3 linked regions of the Saccharomyces cerevisiae S288C genome follow. The gene in region 1 interacts genetically with each later gene. Each region holds a gene or a part of one and is shown on either strand. Other genes may lie near its edges.

Region 1 (3,830 bases):
CTCTATAGTAAAGAGCTATTCCAAAAATCATAATATCAGCAATAGTAATGGTGGCAGTGTCAATGAATTTATGTCCTCTTACAATGCTCAAAGCCACACCTTTCACGCACAAGACAACAGCAAGAACCCTTATACTAACAGCAGCATAGGAAAGTCTAGTATGTTATCTACTCTCAACAATAATAACGTTAACAAAAGGACACATGACTACAATGCTATCGACTTTATGACCAAAAACTTACTTGCATGTGATGATGACAGTATTCATCCGGTCGTAAGTTCTAAAAGGTCAAGAACGTTGGCATGTCCAGATGAAACGAACGATAATCGCGGTAGTGAGCATTACACAAAGAGGAAAAAAATCTAATGGGTTTATTTTTACATAGAATAGTAGAACTTTCTTCCTTTTTTCACGATTTTTTGCATGGGCATTTGTCACAATATATATTTTTATTCAGTTATATAAATATACTCCTTTTCACAAAAGAAGGCCTAATATTATAGGAAATCAGCATTAAAAACATTATGTATTTCTTTTTTCAGCGGCCGAACGGTCACTAGAATGACTCAGAATGGTTTTTATCATCTCGTTGCCAATGAGATTAGCCTCTGGAAGCATTGGCTCAAAGAACTTTTGAACACTCTGAAATTGCTTTTTGTATATATCAAAATTGGCAAAAGAAACAACCGAGCTCCATTCTCTAGCCGAAATAACAAATTCTAAATCATCTTTTATGAATGATTTATCATGGATAGCTGCATCAATTGTCTGTTCTAATAAGCCAGGTTTTAAAAAAAGATATTCGGACACACCCAGGAATATTCTGAATAATGGCGTCGAACAAATCATATGATCATATGGATCAATACCAAGTTGAAACCACGAATCAACAATCGCCAACAATGATAAATGTGAATTCGGCACTGGCTTGCAATTGTTGCTGTTACCAATGCTGCTTTTTGATAGCGAATATTTCTCTAAAATCGTGTCATCCAATAGTAAGAGACCAGTATGCTTTCCAAATACAAATTGCTTAGCTTTTAATAGTCTATCAGTAAGTTCTTGTTCTTTGTTATCTATCATTAAACTAAATAGTTCTGTTGCACTGGTTGCATATTGAAGAATTTGCTGATGTGCACTTGGGTTTGTTATGGCTAATCCTGCGTAAACATGCCACTTGTTCGAATAGATTCTTAGTGATATATTAACTTTCACATTTTCTAGGCCACCGTACCATTTGTTTACACCCAGAGTCCAAGGATAAATCTTTATCTTTGCCCACGCAGATCCCATACTTAAGAAAGCAGCATGTGTCACAGCTTGTGTATCAGCGGTAATCTTGTCATGCTCTTCATATGTCAAATAAACTTGCTTACTTTTCAAACATGCCATAACAGAATTAACGAACTCAAAAGATTCTGGGTACTGTGATCTGTGATTGATAATAACTAGTGGTTGGCCTTCAGTATTAACTTTAGGCCCATGAAGGGAATGCACGGTAATGATGTCGCAGTCCTTGGGTAAATACTTTTCGAAAGCCTCGATTTCCGGCAGCTTACAACTCGTTTGACCCCCAACAATTGTTCCAACCTTAGAAGATGGTCCATACGTTGCGACGATCTTACTAATATTGGATGCTTCAACACTATAGATAATATAGTCGCTTTGCCTGGATACCAAATGACCATTTTTCACCAGTTCGAATTTAGCTGAGGCATATTTTTCTTTCAGTTCATCATAATATTCTTCCCTATCACAACATATAACACCCCATCCAGCATCTGTAAATTTATTAGCGTATAATAGGCCCATATCACCCAGACCAATTATACCAATGACTTTTGTGGCTTTCCATTGCTCAATCTTATCCTCTGATACCATGTTTATCAAGTGGATATGCTGTCCTCTTTCCTTCAAGTGCTACGGTATTCTTGTAATTCTAAAAACTTTTCTTGGTTTGAATAATTCCAGTATCACTTTCTTCAAAGCTTATTTTCATATAAGGCCTCAAAAAAAAAAAAAAAAAATGACACATAGCTGAAGTGATAAACTTACTACACTGGTATAACGCTTATTAGAGGAAATCTAATAATAAACTGTTAGCTATAAATAGTATACAATAACAATGAGCGCTAAAAGTATGACATATTAAACATAAATACGCAATTCTACACCGCTTACAGCCCTTTTCTTTAGTTGGGTTTCTTTATCGTCATCTTCAACATCACTTTCCATGTCGATATCAGCTTGGCCTTCAGTTATTACTTCATCAAGAACTTCTATAGTTTTAGTGTAAACCTCTATTTTCTTGTTCTTCTGATCTTGAAAATGACAACCTAATGCCAGTGTCTTTTCTACAGCTTTACCCATACCCAAAACCGCAACATAGGATGATCCTTGCTTATGAACGCTATCGAGAAACTTATTTATTCTTTTCAGTGCACTAACGTATGGTGTTGTAGACTTAACGAAAATTGTTGTGTGTATTTGCTTATGCGTTAGAGTTTTCAAAGATGGGTGTTTCGTTACTCGTTTGGTAGATTTGTTGTGTGTATTCTTTTTGAGTGCCATCCTGGGTGCAGAGTTCTCTTTTCTTCTTTGACCGTCAATCTTATTGCTTATTTCTGAATAGTTAAGTAGCTCTTTACAGAGAGTGAAATTAAACAAATGGTCAAACAATCGCAGGAAAAAAATGAAGAAAAAACATTTTTTCGAAATGACATGAGAAGACTATTGATGTACTTCTCATGATTATTCAACCATATTGAGCTGGACAGATTTTTACCAAATTGATTTGGGAATTTTAGACATTATTGTTGTCATACCATTTTCATATTCAATTCAACAGCCTGGTGGGGAAGTAAAGAAATTATCCCCGAAACAAATACCCTTTTATGCTTATTTCCAAGAATTACTGGAACACCAACTGCAAGGGTAAACAGAATTGATGAAGAAGGTGCAATCACTCGAAACTACTTCATACTTTCTCTTTTCTTTCATTGATCTTAATTTAGTTCAGTGGACATCATTTTGCTAATTTCAAGGAAAGAAATGGACACAAATTCTAAAACCAAAGTACAAACTGAAAATAAAAAAATTAAGGCGAAATTTATACATAATCATGGGCAAAAGCCCTCTCTTATCCAAATTACACCTCCAATGATTTCCAGCACTCTGTTTCACGCATATCCACTACTACTAATATTCGACAATGCCTTAGCGAATATAATGTGGCTGTCCGACGATAAATGTTTAACATTCATTTATCTAACGAGCATATGGCTGACCATAAGTTTTTTTATCCCCGTTGAAACAGAGGCTAGCCATTTTCTGCCATTTACAAAGATTTTGAGACTATGGTTAGGCATTATAAGCGGGGCATTTCTATTCTTATCATTCATGTATTATATTGTTTCATTGATAGCTTCGTTAAGAGACACGGAACCTCCTACATTGGATGAAATTGTCGTGCTACTAGAGTCTGTGTTGGATAAACTGGAAGTACTGAGAAACGAGCTGAATGTTTGGAAAAAATTAAAGCTTTCATTTGATGGCGTCAATAAGGAGTGTTCTGGCAAGAGGTTGTTTTGCAGATTATTCTTATTCGGTACAATTTTTCAAATTATTATCATGAGATACATATCACCGGGAACTTATACTAGATTTTTTATTATTACCGGCTTGATATACAATACGAGTAGTTTTCAAGCTACCTTAAGGCTACTTTGGAGGTTTACTGCTGTTAGGAATTTCTATTATTTGGGGATTGAAAGTTTTAAAATTTCGAGTTTCTTACCAAAACACTTAAAGATGGAACAAATTATTCCTT
Region 2 (5,643 bases), on another chromosome or scaffold:
GATTAAGCAAATGCCTGCAGAAGAGTTGGACATGACATTCAACAATTGGGTGAACCTAAAAGTGCAATCTATTAAGCGCGAATTTATAGATGACTGTGATAAGAAATTGGACATATTGAGAAGGGATTACTATACTGCCACAAATTTTATTGAAACTTTGGAAGATGACAATCAATTGATCGATATTGCTAAGAAAATGGGCATTTTATAGCTAACTAATTTGATAAACAGGCTAAAGGTTTGTATTTTTTGTAGTTTTGAAACTGTGTATAGAATGTTTCGCCGCATCGCAGATATCTGCAGGGAACTGTTGACATAGCATCTTCTGTGGACGTGACAACGTTACGTATATTCGTTGATACCGCAAGTCTATAGCGTATACATGCTAAGGCAAAAAGTTTCAAAGTGAATGCATTATGTATTTATATGTAAATAAGTAAGAAAAGTGGGATTTTGAAAATAAAGGTGTAGTAGGACAGTAAGTATTCAATGAAATACAATTATAACATATCTTCATCGGGCGTTCCTGATGCTTCATCCATTTGAGAATCAATGGCAGTGTCAGGCATTGATTCGTCAATTGTGTTGTTGTTATTGTTCCTAACCATGTTCTGATTACGAAGTCCCATTTGGAGATTCCTCATCTGGTCAGGTGATATTTGCATTCTATTGCCAAACTGACGCCAGAAATTTGGATTTTCTGTTTCATTGTCATCATTACCATTGTTAGTTTCATTGTTACTTGTATCGTTTGCCCCAGCATCCGATACAATATTCACTATGTTGTTGGCGTTCCGGTTGGCGTCATTGTCATTATTGTTATTCCATGCTGATCTTTGGTGGGCTATTAATAGTTCTCTTTGTCTGGTTAACAATGTTATGTTATCTTTTAAATATAGTCTCAAAACAACGGTGGAGAGCTTGTACTTCTGAACCACCATAATGAATTTGTCAATGAATAAAAGTCGCCATATTAAAAGCCCTTTTTGGTAATCTATGTTGCCCGATTCCTGAACCGTTTTTTGTACTAAACAAATTTGTCTGTTTAATTCAATCATTTGCATATAGGTTTGAGTCATTTCATGAAGTAAAAAACCAGTAAACTGAAACTGAACTCTTACCAAACTAGCAACATTCACCTCGAAATCATCAATATGATCATTTAACTCATGGAATTTTCTAACAATATGACACATTTCACTGTTAATTTCCCGGTTTACACCAGGTGCTACGACATAATCTTGATCATCGTCCACATCACTAAATGGATCTTCACAAAACGTCTTGTTTACTTGCAATAATAGTGAGTTAACTTCCTCCGAGCTCATCCTAATGCCATCAAAAGTATTGAGATACCAACTGAATACTTCATCTATTCGTTCAAAATTGATATTCTGGAAAAGAAAATCGTTATTTAGACCGTTGATTTGATTTAATCCTGTAGCAGCTATAATTGCAGCGGAATCTTGATTTAAATCAGTTATGATTCTCCTAAGAGCATCTTCAAGTGTTTCACCGTTAAATATCAAATTCTTGGATCTAATATATTTTGTCAAAACATCATTTACATCGACATGTGGTCCAAAAGCGGGCGACGTTAAATTTACTAAATAATGGCGAAGTTTATGAACACCTTTCCCTGAAAATACGCAGAATATTTGACGTTGATTTTCACTAAAGTCTGAGGGTGCAGGCCTGCAATACATCGTTATATCGGGGCGTAAAAATGACGGAACAGCAGTCAAAGACAAATGTGAGAGCCTTGGGCAAGACATTAGAAGCTCATATATCGGATATATTGTTAAATTAGAACAGTAAGATAAATGTACCCTTTCTAAAGTATCATTTCGGCCTCGCAAGGAAACCATATTCAACAAACCCTCGTCAGTCATTTGCGTACATTTGACAAGGCCAATTCTCTTTAATTTTGGTAAGTCTGCTAGTTCATAAAGAGTTCTATTGGTTAAATTCGTACAGCACGCAAAGTCCACATACTGTATTCTTGTACATGAATGAAAGAGTGCTCTTACCCCGTTATCAGTTATATTGAAACAGTGCCCAAAATGCACTGTTTGCAAGTTTTTGCCCAGCTTCGATAATTGGAACAACGATGCATCTGTAATTCGGCTACACTTGCCTAGAAAAACATTACGTAATTTAGGGGCTAAATTGACTATACTTTCTATAGTTTTATCTGTAATATTTTCACATCCAGAAAGATCAATCAATCTTAAAGAGGGCATATCGTCAACTACTTTAGAAAGCTCCTGGAAAAGATTATCCGTAATATTCGTATTATGAGTTATTCTGAATTCCCTCAGCTGAACTAACCTAGTGAGGAGTTTTAACAAACTAGAATCAGTGACATTTGGACTTAATGTTATATCGACCTCTACAAGCAAAGGGCATTTGTTGGCTAATAGTTCTACTAATTCGTCATTCATGTTATTGTTTGCTGTGATTTTTATTCTTTTCAACATCGGGGAATGGACTATGAAATTCCGCAGTGAATCGAATGTTACATTCCTTGCCTGAGGAACATAAAAGCCCTGTACTCTGGGACAATATGTCGCTAAGGTATCAAATACGTCATCGGAAACGTCTCTTATTCCAGTGATATCCACACTTTGGAGAAATTTACATCCTCTCAAAACAGCCGATATTGGAACACTGGTTATATGCTTGCAAAATACTAAAGTTAGTCGCTCCAAATTCTTACATCCGACAAAATAGTTAAGCTCTGTATCGTGCATGTAGTCACCAACAAATGAAAAATTTAATCTTTTGATCATTAAACGATAGTTGAATACAGTTTCTTCAGAAGTTAACTTCATAGTCCTTAAAAACAAGTCTAATTGACTCTTTTTGTTGATGTGCGGTCTGTAATAAAGTATCTTCACAATTATTTCAGCCCAGAGTTTGGAAACGGTAAGGAATTTTACAATATCATATTTTTGGTTAAGTTTATCTAATATTAAGTGTAATATTTCCGAGGGTAGCATGTTTAGGGCAAACACAGGTGATCTTCGGGTGACACTCGTACATATGTTTTGATTTGATGGATTCGAAAGCACATTATTTATGAACTGCCTTGAATATCTCGAAAGATCTTGTAGCCCTTCTTTCAAGTCAGATGATTCAGTAGTATCTATGGAGTTTATCCAAATGATGAAATTATCTGTTGGATTTTCCACTTGTTGACCTCTTAGCTTGGAATGGCAGTATGCATATAATGACTTTTTGTACTCTTCTATAATTGTTAATATTTTTAGCCTTAAATTTCTAATTTCCATGTTTTCTGTCTCTAGCGCCCTAAGCCTCATTCTTTGTAATTTATGCAAATAACTAATTGCTTGTGGGGAGTTATCAATACGTAGCTCCTTTAGTTTAAGGTTGTCTAGCTCAATTTCGTTCAGTATTTTTTTTCTACGTTTCTCTATAACAACCAGAAACTCTTGGATTTTTTTGCCCACTATTAGCTTGAATTCGTGGATTTGCTTCCGTTCTTCCTCTGGTAGGTTCGGTAACAATCGATTAAGTTGATCTATTTGAACATTGACACCATTCATAAGGTTTGTGTTCACAGTGTTTATGTCAATCCCGTTCAGCGCATTTGTTTGCTGTTGTGGTTGAAATGTCAGCGAAAAGTTTTGATTTAGCGGTTGTCCGTTGTTGGTTGGCAAAAGCGTTTCCCGTTGAATACTATCGAACCTAAAGATATTATTTAGCGTTGCATCCCTAACCTCACTTGCATTTCTTTCCGAAGTTGCCGTTTCTCTAGTTCGTGATGGCATTTGTGGTCTTGTGCTATTATTATTGTTGTTGTTGTTGTTGTTGTTGTTGTTGTCGTCAAAATCACCGCTACTATTCAGCCACAATTGAGGGCCCAAATTTGGATGTATATCAGGTGGGTGCAGCCTATTGCTGTCATTGTGGTTGTTGTTATCCTGATCCATTATAGACCTTCTTAGTATAAAGGAAACCGCAAAACTGTTTAGCCTCACTACCAATGATAATTATTGTGCCGAAATCAATGAGAAATTTCAAGATTTCACGCAGGTGTAAGCTTAAATGCAATGCCTTAATTTTTGGGCTTCCCTGCTAGTTGGACACAAGTACGATTTTGATATTCAAAAACCGGGCTTCTAAGAGAACGATTAAATGAAAACGAATTATTGTGTAAAATCGAAAAACTGGTGAAGTATGGACAAAAGAAAGTAACACACAGGCACAGTTAAATTTGGTGTTATGTATTTTGCCACGCCTTTTTTGATAATCATATCACTAAATTTGTTAAAAGGCAAATTTTAAAACAAGTTCCTTTACCAAGGAAGGTCCATAGGCGGGTAACCTCAGTAGTAATGAAAGCCTAGTAATGATGACTATAAATGTTCATTAACACATCTGGGTAATAAATGATGATATTTTTAAAAACTGTATAAAACTTTATGGATTTATTTAATCATGATTAGGTGTAGAAAAAAAATTTGGCGATATGATGGCTTGAAAAAGACACGTCTTCCCAGTAATGAAAATGCCCAAATTCTTCATTAGCTCGCTCATATTCTATTAGGATTTGAACCATAAAACCGTTGGGGGTAAATGAGATAGTTTTGAATGGATGCAGGTATGAGAAGAAAACGGCGTGGTCTCCCAATGATGACGGAAATAAAAGAAAACATGGGGACGTCAGTTTGCAGAGTGTAAAGTCAGAGTTTCAAAAACGGTGTTATCGTCGTTATAGTTCGTGTTGTTATTATTGTTGTTGTTGTTCGTATGAGGTTGTGAGGAGCCAACATTGTTTACTAATTCCATAGTAGTGTTGTTATGGTTAGTTAGGCTCAGTTGTGGCAACGATAAACGGGTTCCGTTATTAAAGTTTAGCATATCAAACTGGGAACTTAAGTCATCGTTGTTCATAGCATATCCATTACTGGCGTTGCCTGAAAAGCCGCTGACAGGGAAGACGCCAGGATAACTAAAATAGCCCATTGAAGAATTAGAATTGGCATTCAATGGTTGGCCCGGGGATAATGTAGAGGCAGAAGAACCATTTGTAGTCGTGGTGTTCATTGTGGTATGTTTAGATCCACCACTTTTAACGCTAGAAACAGAAAGACCTCTCATGTGTTGTCCAGAAGTATCAGGAGTGGCGAACATGTGCGAAATGCTGCTGTTATGATGCTGCTGCTGTTGTTGTTTTGTCTTGTTATGAGTACTAGAGGGTGATGCCAACCCGACTTCTTCCAATAAACGGCGGCTTGGTTGGATTTGAGTAGAATCCGTCAATACTTTTCTGACTTGTTTAATGATGTGGGCTCTTAAGTCATCTTCTAATAATGGCATTGCTAAAACTTTATGGACAAAGGTTGGGCCATAATTTGTTTCACATAAAAGCTTTGTTAATTCCTTTGGTGGCGAAGAATCGTGTGCGTTCACGTTTCCAAATAGGGAATCTAGGATGATTTTTCTAGCGTTATCATCCCCTCTGTAATTCAAGACCTTCAAAATAGTCAAAGAAGCCAATCTGTGGCCACATAACTCTACAATTCTTTTCGTCAATCTTGGTGCCAAGATAGAATGTCTGTTGGGTAAAACACTAGTATCTAAAAACCACGTTACTAACAACGCACCATTGCTATT
Region 3 (5,839 bases), on another chromosome or scaffold:
CAAATTTCTTCAAGGCTTCCGGATCGTTACCTTACTCCCAAGCAATAAACGTGAAATCTGTTTTGTATATATATTTGCAGCTTTTTTTCTTTTGTTCTTTTTCTTTTTTTGGAGATGCGTCTTAAAAAGCGCCACAGTTTCAAGGGTCCGGCGGATAATTTGAGCAATGATAGTATGAAATGCCAGATTACTGTGTATTAAATAATACTTCATGAATTTGCGAATGAACCACTTTTTTGAAAGTTTATGGATATAGATGTGCACATGTCGTTTTTTGAGCTTTGGGTGTTTAGAGCGGAAGAGTTGGTGTTGTGAGTTTCAGTTTTATCAATTATTTATGTTTTTCTCTCAGAAGCCATTTTTTTTTGGTTTTATGGTAAAGGCACCCTTTAAAAATAATACTAAATGTTTCTTTGAAAAATACCATACTTACAACTAATTAATTATTATATGATAGTAAACACATATACTTATTTATAACAAAGGGGTAATCAATCTACTTAGCGAAATGTAACCTTTTTAAAAAACCTTACTATCATGTATATTGAGCAACCAATGAACCTTATTAATGCCGATAATGCAACTAACCATAAAATTACATTAAAATAAATTGAGGCCTTACTGGTCATTAAGGGAATTTCCGCCTTCTTTGCAGTTTCTAAAGTGTCATCAGTTGATATGGATTTCATAGCAATATAATCTGCAATCCCACCGGTTTCTAAGACAACAGCAACGATGATGAAATTTGTGATGACCCAAAAGATAATCACGAGAGATCTAACGTTTGCATAATAGCCAGTCTTTTTTTCATCATAAGATGGCTCAGTAGGCCGAGATTCTGATTTTGGATCGAAGTCATTTAAAACTTTCAAATATTTATCGTAGTTTGCTTGAATCTCTGAACTAGAGACCAGAACTTCCATTTTGAACGTACCATCTTCTGTAGTATTAATCTTACCCAGCGGATTTGCCATTGCACCCTTTGTACCCCATGATAAGTCGTGGACATTACAAAATGCATAGATATTCAAAACATTGATGTAAGAAGGACTCAATAAAATATACTGAATAAAACTTGTCAACATATGCCATGGCTGCAAATAGATAATTGAACTGATTAGGTACAAACAATAAGTGGAGCCCAGAGAGATAACAATATCCCTGAAAGCTTCTGTGGTAATCAAACCCTCAAAGCTGATGGTATCGTTTTTCAATATATTTTGGAAGGATTTGACACTCATGAATATACTGCAGAATATCATGTAAATCATCATCACCGCAAAAATGACGCAAGTTAGAACATAAAATTTCTCAGTACTTTTAGGTTTATTACCCAATGACAGTATGAATGTTGATAAGGTACAAATCCCATAAAGCCACAGGAATATGACGGACAACACATTAAATGCTGAATGGTATGCCAGTGCAATAGAAACAGTGAGAATTCTAAAGACTAGGAAAAATGAACTCAATGAAAACCATGAAATCAATGTATTGAAGAAAAGGTAAAAAAATTCAACCGTCAAAAGGAGTTTTCTACCAATATTATGACCACTGCTCCAGACTCTGTAAAAATGACAAAAGGAATATACACTAGCAAAAAATGAACCATTCAACCAACGCCTCCTCTGAAGAATAAATTCAGGGACCCTCTCCGGTACATCTGTTGAAGCATAAGAACTTCTGCAGTATTTCAAAATCCAATTACAATTTTTTTTTGTGACCACTTCAAAGCATAAAATACGATCTTCAGCAAGATACATATTGGAAGAAAAAAAATGAAAACCTTCATTTTCCATAATTTCACCATAAAAGTACTTCTGTAATGGTTGGCCTCTCACAGCTTCAAACCTATACGCAGAGAATGCCCCCGGTAGAACAGTAATAAATCCAAAGTTAGACTCGGTTGTTTTGTCTAAAATATTGGACATTTTGTATTCGAAATTCTGTGATGCAACTAAAGGATTCAAAAGCTTTACAAATCTCTTACCCAAATCAGTTCTTATTTCACCACATGCGCCACCAACATTTGGATTCCTGAACTCTCTCCATAACTGGTAAATAGAATCTTTACCTGGCATGGTACCAGCATCTAACAATGTAACGATATTGGGACGCAGTAATTCTGCAAAGCCTTCAAATGCCCATCTATGTGAGTTAATTTTTTTCTGATTTTGCTCTTTCAAACAAAACAAAAGTTGTATTGGAACGGTACCTTGATTGCATTCTAATGAAACCTCTGATTCCGAAATATTTGTGATGTTGATCATTGTCGTATGTTCGTAGACATGCATTGCCACTTTTTTTTCATTAATTTCATCCTTAGCAAACCCGTCCTGGTAACAACCTAACGAACTTAGTAATGCTAGCGAGCGTTCATTAATTTTGGATCTACCATCTGAAATGATACAAACGACAATCTTTTTCCATGCATCCGGCCCCCAAGTGCTTGAATTTTTTTTTTTCACCATATATTTGACATTGTCCATAATACCTTTCAAAGTTCTTCCTAACAGGATATGGTCTTCATTATACATTGTGACTACTAGCATCAATTCCGTTTCCCTTGGAGTTAAATACTTCAACTGCCTCACCGTGAAATTCTTCTCTGCAAGTTGATTAGGTTCGCAAGTAACTGCTTGATATCTCATAAACTTAAACTCATTTGGTAAAGTGTTTGCATTTTCTGTTGTAGTAGCGTATTGGTCCAATAGCGTCTTACTGATTGGAGAATCGAAAACAAAATTACCATTCCAAAGTTTGAATTTCCTAATTTCAGTACCGCTTCTCTTTAGTGCTCTATTTGCGGTTAAGTTATCATTGCTTACTATTATGTCGGATTCTTTAGATCCGATAGAAGACACCGAGGATGATGCAGGTACACCATTAGCTTGAAACTGTAATTTATCAATAGTGTTGAGATCATCGTACTCGTCATCCCTTGAAAAATCATCCTTGTCATATTCCCCCAAGTCTCTATGAGAGTAACCGCTTTTCACACTGTCTAATTCTTCTTTTCCATCGTTTACGGGTCTGCTATCATCATGAAGATATTCTCTACGCTCCATAGGAGTCATATGTCTTAAACTGTTTTCATAATCGTAAGGATCAACCATTTCACCGTTTCTACCCAAATATGAATTAATCTGATAGTCATCTCCTCTCTGATCAATATAACCACCCTCCGGATCGTCATAGTAATCTTTTGCCTGTAGGCCATGGTAACCATTGTTGTATCCAAAAGGTTGGTCATGGTATTGAGGAATATTACCGCTATTCATGTTATTGTTGGGTTGCTCCAAAATGGGCCTAGCTTCCTGATCTGCATAACCATCGCTACTAGAAGCAATACTCGGTGACGTCCTAGAGTTCCTGTTATTATAATAGTAGTCGTTTTCGTTAAAGAAGGGCCTTTCGATGGGGGTGGCCATAGTCTGTGAGCCGTTATGTATGAGTTCTGGAGTGGTTTGAATCACATTTATCGAAGGAAGTGGATATGAAGGTACGTTATTGTATTGATGTTCCGACGGTAGCTGTTGACTATTCGTATTAAAAACGTCATTGTATTCTGCAGTTGCTGGTGGGGGACGCTGGCGATGGTGGTTGACAAAACCTCCATATATGTCTCGTTCGTTATCATTGATAGTATTATTATTGCCATCGTCACCGTTATAAAGCATATTTGTTTGCTGAGATTGTTCTGGAAATTGCAAAGATTGGACTGGAGTGAATGAACCCATGCTGGCATTTTGATTGGTATATCTTTGGTTCCTGTTTGTTAATTCTTCATTAGAAGAGTGAAATAGCCCGCTATGTGCATTTTGGAGTTCATAGGAAGGTTCATTCTTCCGGTTTGAGTGATATTCATTTCTCGATCGATTATTTTGATCACTCATTGTATAGTTTTTTTGGTTTGGCTTCCCAGTATTAATTTAGTGACTCTTCGAGGAAGGAAAGAAGAGAGAAGAAGAAGAAGAAATGTATACTGCGTATTTAAACAAGCAGTACTGCAAGGTCCGGTAGGCCTCAAAATGTAAGTGTTCTGATCCTTTGGAGTACCGACGTAAAAAATGAACCCGAGATATATATTAAAATCAATAATTTGTAACAAATATTATACCTAGTTTGGCCAAGAAAATCAAATTTCACACTAATGGCTGTGTCGCGTCATTATCGCGTTACCAAGCCACGCGATTTCTAAAAAAAGACTGCTGGGCCCCGTCTCGGCTTTGTTTCAGAGGTAATGTATGTTTCCTGCATGTATTTACTTGTATCAAATTTCGTTTCACCAAGGGTTCTTGTAGCATATGCGCAACGAATTATCTTCTACTTATGTATATGTACGTAATTTCACTACCGATAGTGGCTATAAAAAGGGTGTTCTGGTGGCATATCGAACGTCATTGCGGTAGGCGAAGCAGAAGTACCGTCATCCTCATTTGACTTCTGTTCCAGCCTCTGTAAGAAAAGTAGTCTTTCCTTGGCTTGATTATGGATATAGTTCCTCTTCAGTTTATCAATAATCGTTTCTTGTAACCCGCACTGTTTTGATGAGATAGCGACAGCATTATTCAGAAAAACGTTAGCGTTTTTCATCAATATGTTTAAAGTATGCGCTCCCCCGGGGGTTTTTTGTGACTTTTCAGTTGATTCTTTTATAGCGTACCTTCTCAGTTCATTATCGGAGGAATTTACTAAGACATCACAAAGTTGAAAAACTACGTGACTCAATTGTTCGTTCAATGTCTGATTTTTCAGAAACAAGATTTGATTTCTATAGTCTGTTAATAAAGTTCTAGCCTCTGTAAGAACTTTGGTCAATAACCCAGAGAGTTTCCAAGATGCATCTGAAGAATAATCGTTTAAACATAGAATGGCAAATTCAACGATATCAACTCTAATCAACGAAAGATCAATCTTACCCTGTACATCTTTTTCATCAAGCAGATCGGTAAAGGAGACGGTTTGCAGAACAAAATCTTGCAATGACTCGAAGGTTCCGGAGCTAATGATGTTCAAACCTTCAATTAAAGTCTTGGCTAAACCGATTTCCTTCAAATCTAATGGAATGGCGGCGGAAATGGAGTCTATAATGTCGCGTAGTTGTAAATAGAATTTATTGGTTGTATCTTCCAAGAAATTAATCTGAATAGGATTCAAGATTTTCGTTTCGACATTTTTTTCAATAGATATTTTCGACTCAATAACCAATTCCATCAAAGCATGGTTGAACTTTAAAGAGTTGGCGAGTACTTCGGTAAGTGAAGACGGAGTCACTTGTTCAGAAACGTCCATAACTTCTGCTGGAGGTTGTACAGGTCCATTGGTTCGGATACCACTTCCGTCCCTGGTAACTTGCATCGCGTCTTCATCCAAAGTATCTCTTTGCAATTCCGTATCTGTGTCATCGGAATCTTGTTCTGCATTTTCACTCCAGTTTTGTAGTTCTTGTAACAGATAATTAACCAGGTGTTGAAAGATTTCAATATACTTGTTTGTCAAAGTTAAAATGTCTGCACCTTCCATTGCAACGGTGGGCGAAACGGTGTCGTCTAGGGACTCTATGAGAGTCAAATAACATGTCAATAGATTGAATTGAAGATCCCAAGTTCTCTGTTCTGGGAAAGTCTCATAAACAATTTCAAACCGTTGGATAATCTGTGGCAGAGATAACACCAAATTGGAAAGATCAGGCATATCATCCATTTTCACGTATTGCAAGATATTAATGTAGCCGTTATTGGCCAGATAATCTGTATAAATTTGCAAAAAAAGCCTTGTTTCATTATAATAGATATTATATTTCCCTTCCTGCGTGGAATCTAAAGCAGTCAGACCA

What was found. A genetic interaction does not mean that the proteins touch.
Region 2: mutations in TYR1 (region 1) and GRR1 are lethal when combined (synthetic lethality), as found in Saccharomyces cerevisiae (one study listed by BioGRID).
Region 3: mutations in TYR1 (region 1) and CHS1 impair growth when combined (synthetic growth defect), as found in Saccharomyces cerevisiae (2 studies listed by BioGRID).

Annotation. Positions count from the first base shown.
Region 1 is NC_001134.8:569,319-573,148, forward strand, and holds TYR1 (prephenate dehydrogenase (NADP(+))), read right to left. Parts: upstream 1,883-3,830; coding exon 524-1,882; downstream 1-523. Other genes in the region: UBS1 (Ubs1p), read left to right, coding at 1-367; ribonuclease P/MRP protein subunit POP7, read right to left, coding at 2,150-2,572; PEX32 (Pex32p), read left to right, coding at 3,053-3,830.
Region 2 is NC_001142.9:590,372-596,014, forward strand, and holds GRR1 (SCF ubiquitin ligase complex subunit GRR1), read right to left. Parts: upstream 3,957-5,643; coding exon 501-3,956; downstream 1-500. Other genes in the region: BIR1 (survivin), read left to right, coding at 1-211; JSN1 (Jsn1p), read right to left, coding at 4,690-5,643. UniProt on the Saccharomyces cerevisiae protein: Substrate recognition component of a SCF (SKP1-CUL1-F-box protein) E3 ubiquitin-protein ligase complex which mediates the ubiquitination and subsequent proteasomal degradation of target proteins.
Region 3 is NC_001146.8:274,559-280,397, reverse strand, and holds CHS1 (chitin synthase CHS1), read right to left. Parts: upstream 3,897-5,839; coding exon 501-3,896; downstream 1-500. Other genes in the region: YNL193W (uncharacterized protein), read right to left, coding at 4,354-5,839. UniProt on the Saccharomyces cerevisiae protein: Polymerizes chitin, a structural polymer of the cell wall and septum, by transferring the sugar moiety of UDP-GlcNAc to the non-reducing end of the growing chitin polymer. Required for mitotic division septum formation during adverse conditions.